Notamacropus eugenii: one gene and its partner. The protein of the gene in region 1 interacts with the protein of each later gene in a biochemical or structural test. Links are inferred from orthologs where the notes say so. Each region holds a gene or a part of one and is shown on either strand. Other genes may lie near its edges.

Region 1 (3,743 bases):
ACCTATATAAATGTATCTTTCAAAATAAAAAGGCCTGTATCCCATAACATTTCATCTTACAAAGATTCCGAAAGCTCCGAATAAAAGCAATATTCTCTTTGTGATCTCACATCTCCCTCCCACAAAAGTAAGATAGTAATGAAGTCCATTTACTTCAAAGGGGTGTGTCAGGGTGAAAGTAAAACCAGAAAGTCCTAAGGCTGGGCCTAATTGCAGCCTAGAGGTGACTGGGTTCAAAAAGTCTTTGCAATTCATAAAGTAAAGCTCTAGAGGATTCTACCTGGCAGCAAAGACTTACAGGGTAGCTCCTAGGTCTTTTGTGTAAGAACCAGCCTAAGTTTGGAGAAGTGTATCAGCAAAGCAGCAGGGTGCTGACTTTTTGGTGGCAACATCAATTCTCCAGCTATACAAATGTGCAAAAATGTACAAATTAACTGACAGAAGGCAGAATGTGATTAACAATAAAAGTTCAGGACAAAGTGCTCTAAGAAAATTTGAGGAGGAGATATATCAGTTTAGCTGGTAGTTTGGGAGTGAGGCTGAGGACAGTGGATCAGCCAATATAGAGGAAGTAGTACCTCGATTGGGCCTTTAAAGATTTCAGTAATTCAAGACTGACTTTTTACTAAACCCAACAGGTAGAGATACAGAGAGTATCCAGCGAAAAGGCCTGCTGGTGAGAGACAATCACAGAAAAAAGGGATCACAATGCCACACAGACTTAGGAAAGTATTTGTTACCCTGTCCCTTCAAGCACAGTTTTCCAAGGCCTTCAAATCACGACTGGCAGATAAAGAGGGCATGTCCTGAGGTATCCCTGTTCACCTGCTGAAGTAAATTCTTGAACTTCCAGGCAAAGTTAGTGTAAGTTTCTTCAAGAGTTTTTGGCCAAAAACAATATCCCAGGTATTACAGAGGTAAATGGTATTCTCATTAATCTTCCCCAAACCCCCATGGGAGGAATCAGGGTAATAGAAAACTCAAATTTTCCTAAAATGTTTAACTGAGGTGGGAGGACCTGAAAGTTTATTTTATTTAAGTACATTCCTATCAACTAGACAATATTTTGCTTTCCATGCATACTTAGTGAAATTAAACTCCAAATGCCCTTTTTCTCCAAATACGAGGACTTGACAACCAAATGTTAAAAAAGAAAAGAAAGGAGGCCTAAGGCCAAGCATTTTGTCTGAAAGCAAAGGGAAAGTTTAGATGTCAGTTCTTTAACACCCCATGTCCTTCCTTTTTTTCTTTTGCTGTTTCAAACAATGCTACTTAATCACAATGGCCTCTTTTAACGTCTTACACAAATACCACGGCAGCTTATCAAACCAAGTCTAGGTTCTGAAGGATCATTTGAAATCCTACTTCAGCAAGAGTGTCATTACTTGTTTTTGTTGGTTTTTTTCCTAGGAAGTGATTTTTTTTCTCCTCCAGCATGTCCTGACAGATACAGAAGAGAGGAATAAAAAAATCTTACATATGGTTTTAAAAAAAAGCAAGGTGCTTTTGTTTCTAGACATCTCAGATCAGGCTCCAAAAGAGTCTCTGGGGGAAATAACCCCCTTAACAGGCATCCTTTAAAAGACTGGCAAAAGGAAGCGCACGCAGAATAGGATTTGGCTGATAGTAATAAGTAAAACACATTTATTTGGCGCCCACTCTGCGTGTCAGGCACTGTTTAAGCTCCGGACGGATCGCGGACTGCAGGAGGGACTTGTCCCCAAGGGTAGGAAGTTGGTGCCTATCTCTACTGGACGGGGTCCTCCGATTTCCTTCTCGGTTCCCCGGTCTTGCTTCTCCCCAAACCCCAAGTTCGGACGCCCAAGCCCCCTCCCCCCAGCCGGACCCACATTCCGTCCCCTTCGCAGGCAGCTCCCAGGGGATGTGAGTCACTGCAGAGAAATCCCGGCAGCAGAAGGCAAGTTTGGGTTTCGGAGTATCCCGCAGCGCCGCGGGCAGCCGGCTCTGTCCCGGGCCGAGCCCAGGTGAGCAGCACCTGGGGAAGTTCCCGCCCCCACCCACCCCCACCCCGGCCAAGATCCACGTCCTCTGGGCTCCGGAGGCAGCCGGGCCGCCCTCCAGAGGTGGCCGACCCGAGGAGGCCAGCCCCTGGCGTGGCCTCTGCCCTGCCGCCCCACTCGCAAACTGCGTGGATGCGTCCCGGAGGAGGAAAAAGCAAGATAGGGGAGGGGGCCGAGGAGAAGCTTACCTGCTCCTCTGGGAGGGGTCCGGGGCCCCCGCGCTGCCAGGTGGAATCGGGGCTCAGCGCGACTGCCGCTCCCTCCGTGGGGAGGGAGGGAAGCGGGAGGCGTGGGCGGGAGTCCCCCGGGGAGGGCGTGGCCGGAGCGGAGCAGCGCCCCCCTTCCTCCCCCCGCTTCCCGCGCTCCGCCTGGGCCCCGGTCGCGGTCACGGTCTGGGCCACGGCCGGGACCTCCCTTCCTCCGTAACCAGCCAGCCCAAGGGAGAGGCGGGCGGGGGGCTGGGGAGCGGCCGGCCGCGGAGGAGTCAAGTTGGGGGGCTGGTTACTGCGGCCACATCGAACCCTGGAAGGAAATGCAGCAGTGGCCGGGGGAGGAGGAGTTCCGACCCAAAGAAATTACCACGGCCCCGGGGCAGAGTGCAGAGGCTCTCGAGTCCTCCCTCGATTTTACAGATGTGGAAACTGAGGCCCATGGAAATTAGGAGACTTGAATCAAGGTCCTCGGAGTCTGTCCCCTGCTTTTACAGAAGAGGAAACTGAGGTCCAGGGAAGGTTACTCCCTTCCCCAAGGTGACACAGTATCTGTCAGTCAGGACTTGAAGTCTTTCGGGCCCCGAAGTCAGTGTGCTGTATCCACCACGCAACCCTGCCTCATCCTACTAACGTTTATTTAATGTATCTGTATATAGAAACAATTTGCAGCTTCCCCTTGTCCATATTCTCCATTCAGTGAAGCAGAAACTGATGTGAAAATCGAATTTGTCAAGTAACGTCCTTCCCCTGTTCTGACACCTGCCTATTTTTTTCAGTCTAAACTTAGATGACTTCCCCCTTCCATTATTACTGTATGCTCCAGTCAAATTGGACCGCTAAAGCCTTCAAAATATGTCTTTATTCCTTTAGGTGATCTGTGACTATGAGCAAGTGGTGGCAGGCTCTGGGCTTGGAGTCAGAAAGACCTGAATTTGAATCCGGTTTGTCACTAACTCTAATGAAGGGAAGGGAATAAGCATTTATAAAGCTCCTACTAAGTGCCAGGTTCTGGGCTGTGTCTTACAAATATTTTATTTGATCCTCAACAACTGCTTTTATTTTATCCATTTTATAGTTTTAGTGATTTGTTGTAGTCATGAAGCTACCAAGTGTTTGAGGCAGAATTTGAACTCGTCTTCCCTGACTCCTGACCTACCATTCTATGTACTATACAAATCTATCTGCCCCTATAAGGCCAAGAAAGAAATTGAATCTTTCAACCCCAGTTTCCTCATCTGTAAAATGGGTCTAATAATAGTTACAAGCTTCAAGTGTGGTATTTCATGAGATTGTCATTAGGAAAAATATTTCCTAAGTCTTTTAAGTGTGTATTAAGGCTACAGGCACTTATCTGCATGGTTCACATATCTCTCTCATCCCTATGTCCTGGACTTAGTTATTTCTTAACTCTTTTCCGGGCCTACAAACAGACTGAACCTCTGCTAGGAAGCCTCGCCCTGTGAGGCAGAGCTATAACTGGAGACCTGACAAGACTGCAGTCATATTGGGG
Region 2 (3,743 bases), about 72 Mb from region 1:
ATAGAACATGGTATTAACAAGGCCAAGGTCACAGGTTTGATACAGCCAGCTCTGAACAAAGAAAAACTCTTGAGTCCGAAGCTATGCTGCCCCCACAGTCTTAGCTTCCTTAGAAATACACACTTCCAGGGATCTGAAAGGAGTGTGCATGGCTCAGTGATGACTGGCCAGTCCTCTCCCTACGAAAACATAGCATCTTCACTCTTATGCCCCAGGATCCCAGGGACGGGGACTCCAGAATCCCTCTGCTGAAGATAAAAGGAGGGCCACACCAAGGAGCTGTCAAGCCACTTTATTTTTCTTTCCTGCTCAGATTTGCACTTGAGGGAGCACACACGCACACAGTCTCACACATACAGATGTATGCACACATACAAAACAATACACCAAGCCCTAGCCTTTCCCAGGCTTTCAGGGAAAGAGCATCCCCTGTCCACCCTAGTCAGGCTAAACTGCCCAAGCTCTTTCAAAATAGGCAGAGACCGGCTGAAAGTTACTTTAAAATCCCATATTCCACATGAATATAAAACCTAACAATTCCAAAATGAAAGAGAACCAAAAAAGCCCCAGCCACATCCCACCAAAACCTCGATTCCTTCCCTCTTTGGGGTAAGGAAATGGAACAAGCAGGAACACGCCAATGTAACCCAAAGCATCCTTGAGAATTAGGGAACTTTTAAACCAGAACACCCTTATACCTGGGGCCTGAACCAAACTGACAACTGCCCCTTGAAACAAACGATTCATGCAGAGAAATGTCAAGGTCTTGACCTTGACCCCAAAGGCCAAACACTGAAGCTAGTGCTAATAAACGGGTCACTCCAAACCTCGGCCAGGTGCTGCTCCTCTCGCACCCCTCTACACCAACCTGAAGTGCCAGCCCAGGCTGCGGCTCCGCCACTGCTGCTTTGCAGCCAGGTCAAAGAAAAGGACTACACAGAGGTCGAAGGCAGGAATGAAATGCACTCCTTTTCAGGCATGGGGGGGAAGCAGGGAGAGACCCCACACCTCTGTGGAATGTAGAATTATCTCAAGTCTTTTCTCAGCCCCTGGAGCATAGAAAATGTGGATAAAAGACGGGGCAGGGAAAGAGACAGGGAGAGAAAACCCAGCCCCAGGGATGGGGAGGGTGGCTTCAGGAGGAAGCAGTCTGCTGTTGCTCCAAGGCTTTTTTCTGTTTCTCAGTAGCAGCAGCCAAGGCCTCAGCCAGCTTGTCCTCGGGCATCATATTCAGCACCTTCAGGGCAAAGAGCAGCTGGTGCTTGGCGGTGCTGATGAAGGCATTGCTAAGGAAGTTGGGGAACCCACCAACTCGATCCTTCTGGGTGTACAGGGGAACCCGGACCAGGCCCAGCACCTGCAACAAGAGCGGACAGGGCCGTCGGGAACCCAGCTGGGGACCGGGCTGGGCTCCCCCCTGCTGAGCCCCGTGCGTGCCAAGGGCTGCTTGGCCACCTGGAGGTCCAATTACCCCCTGGGAACCTATGTTACGGGGAAGTCTTCCCGCGGCTTCTCCTGGATCCCTTAGTGCGTCCATTTACAATGCACACCTTCCTGAATTCCGAGCGGGGGGGGGGACGCGGGCAGCCCTCGGACCCCGAGCACCCCTGGGACCTTACGACCTCCTCCCCAGCCCAAGCCCCACACCCCTCCCTCCCTCCACATCCCATCTCAATCCCACAAAACCCCAACTTTCCCAAGTCCTACTCTCCCTTTTCCCACCCATCGTCTGCATAAGCAACGCCCCGTTCCCCAACGCAAGGAAACTTCTTGGCCACCTCGGCCCCGCTCCCGACCCCGCAGCCCGGCCCCGCTCCCGACCCCGCAGCCCAGCCCCGCTCCCGACCCCGCAGCCCAGCCCCGCTCCCGGCCAAGCTCCCGACCCCGCTCCCGGCCCCCCAGCCCGGCCCCGCTCCCGATCCCGCAGCCCGGCCCCGCTCCCGGCCCCCCAGCCCGGCCCCGCTCCCGACCCCGCAGCCCGGCCCCGCTCCCGGCCCCCCGGCCCGGCCCCGCTCCCGACCTCCCAGCCCGGCCCCGCTCCCGGCCCCGCTCCCGGCCCCGCTCCCGACCCCGCAGCCCGGCCCCGCTCCCGACCCCACTCCCGGCCCCCCAGCCCGGCCCCGCTCCCGGCCCCGCTCCCGGCCTCTCCCCTCCCTCCCCTCCCCGGGCGCCACCGTCACCCCCTGCGGCCCAACGCTGGAGACCTCGGCCGGCGCCCCACCTCCAGCCCGTGGTCCCGCGAGTGCACCGCGCTGATCTCCACCGCGTGCAGCTCCTCCAGGGTGAGCTGCCGGGCGTACAGGTGGGCCACGACGCGGTGCGGGCCCTCCGTGAGGTGCGAGCTCAGGTAGTCGGCTTCCGTGAGGCGCAGGTAGCCCAAGCCTAAGCCCAGCACCCGGTTCAGCCCGTCTTCCAGGGACCAGAACCGACGATCCACAAACCCCCCAGGGAAGCCCAGGAGCCCGTCAAAGCGCATCTGCATCTGCAACAGAACCGCTCGGGTCAGCGGGCCGGGCGGGCCGCGGCTCTCCCTCCGGCTCCCGCCGTCTGCGGCCGGCGCGCTCAGCCCCGATCCCCCGGCCTCGGCCCCGCCTCCGCGCTCCCTCGGCCCCAGGCGGCCCGGCACCCCGCTCCCCCGCAGCCGCGGCTCCGGCTCCTCGGCCCGGCCGGCTCCGCCCACCCTCCGCCCCGCAGTCCGGCCGCACTCTCCCTCCGCCCTCACCAGAACCGAGAAGCGCAAGGGGATCCGCCCGAACAACTGCCCGGGATTGGCTGCGTAGAGCATGGCGTGGCAAGAGTGGCTCCAGCCGGGCCCGAGACGCATAGCCTCCCCGCGGCTGATCTGCTTCAGCTCCGGCACCCGCGAAGCCGACATCTTGCCCGCTAGGACGCAGCACCCCCAGGCAGCGGAAAAGTAGCTGCGTCCCCGCCCCCCTTCCTCGTGTTTCCACCAATCCCCGGAAAGGAGGCCGAGCTCTCCCCTCACCCAGTCTTGTCTCGCCAATTGCCGGAACACGTTGTCAGGCCGCGGCCAATCGATGGGCTTGGTCTTGCTTTGGTTCGCCTTTGTCCTAAAAACCGGCCAATCACGTTCCAGGTTTCTCCTGGGCGTTTGTCACTTACAGGCAGGGACGGGTTGGCCAAATGATTGACGTGTCCTCAAGCCAATCGTCACAGAAGATTCTGGGGGTTGGTCTCAGGGAGGATTTCCAGACTGCGATGGCCCAACGTGCAGCGCCCGCAGCCCCGCCTACCTGCCGGCGGCAGCCAATGGAATGCTTGTATTCCGGCCCGGGCTCCTCGGGTGCCCTAGAAGGTTCCGTGTCCAGTTGGGCAGTTTAACCGAGAGGGGCCGAGGCTCCGGGTCCCGGGTCGTCGCGGGTGCGAACCCCGCTGTTTCCCGGTGGGGGTGGAGGGCGGCTCCCCTCGTGGCCGGGGAGCGCTCTGCGGTCGGAGCCGGAGCCGGGTCGGCAGGGCCCCAGGGCCCCGGGCGCTCCCTGCCCCTCCCGCCCCAGGGGAAGGGACCGCCGGGCGGTCCGTGCCCCGGGGGGCTCCGGCCGCGTGGGGAGCGATGCACCCCTGCCCCTCCTTCGCGGAGGGGCCGGACGGGGGGCCCGGCAGGCCCGGGGACGACTGGGTCCGTGGGAGATTCCCCTCCCCCACTGCCTTGTTACAAGGGGCGGCTCAGTGGTTAGGGTAAGGCCGAGCGGAGAAAGGCGGTGTCCCCAAAGTCCTAGTGCAGC

The links. The genes of interacting proteins can lie anywhere in the genome.
Region 2: the proteins of LRRK1 (region 1) and NUDT16L1 form a complex in vitro, tested with the Homo sapiens proteins (2 studies listed by BioGRID and IntAct, with this or other methods). The link is inferred for Notamacropus eugenii from reciprocal best matches to the Homo sapiens genes LRRK1 and NUDT16L1.

The regions. Positions count from the first base shown.
Region 1 is NC_092872.1:153,611,960-153,615,702, forward strand, and holds the start of LRRK1 (leucine-rich repeat serine/threonine-protein kinase 1), read right to left. Parts: upstream 2,310-3,743; 5' UTR 2,210-2,309; intron 1-2,209.
Region 2 is NC_092872.1:82,021,566-82,025,308, reverse strand, and holds NUDT16L1 (tudor-interacting repair regulator protein), read right to left. Parts: upstream 2,876-3,743; coding exon 2,723-2,875; intron 2,483-2,722; coding exon 2,222-2,482; intron 1,358-2,221; coding exon 1,136-1,357; 3' UTR 278-1,135; downstream 1-277. UniProt on the Homo sapiens protein: Key regulator of TP53BP1 required to stabilize TP53BP1 and regulate its recruitment to chromatin.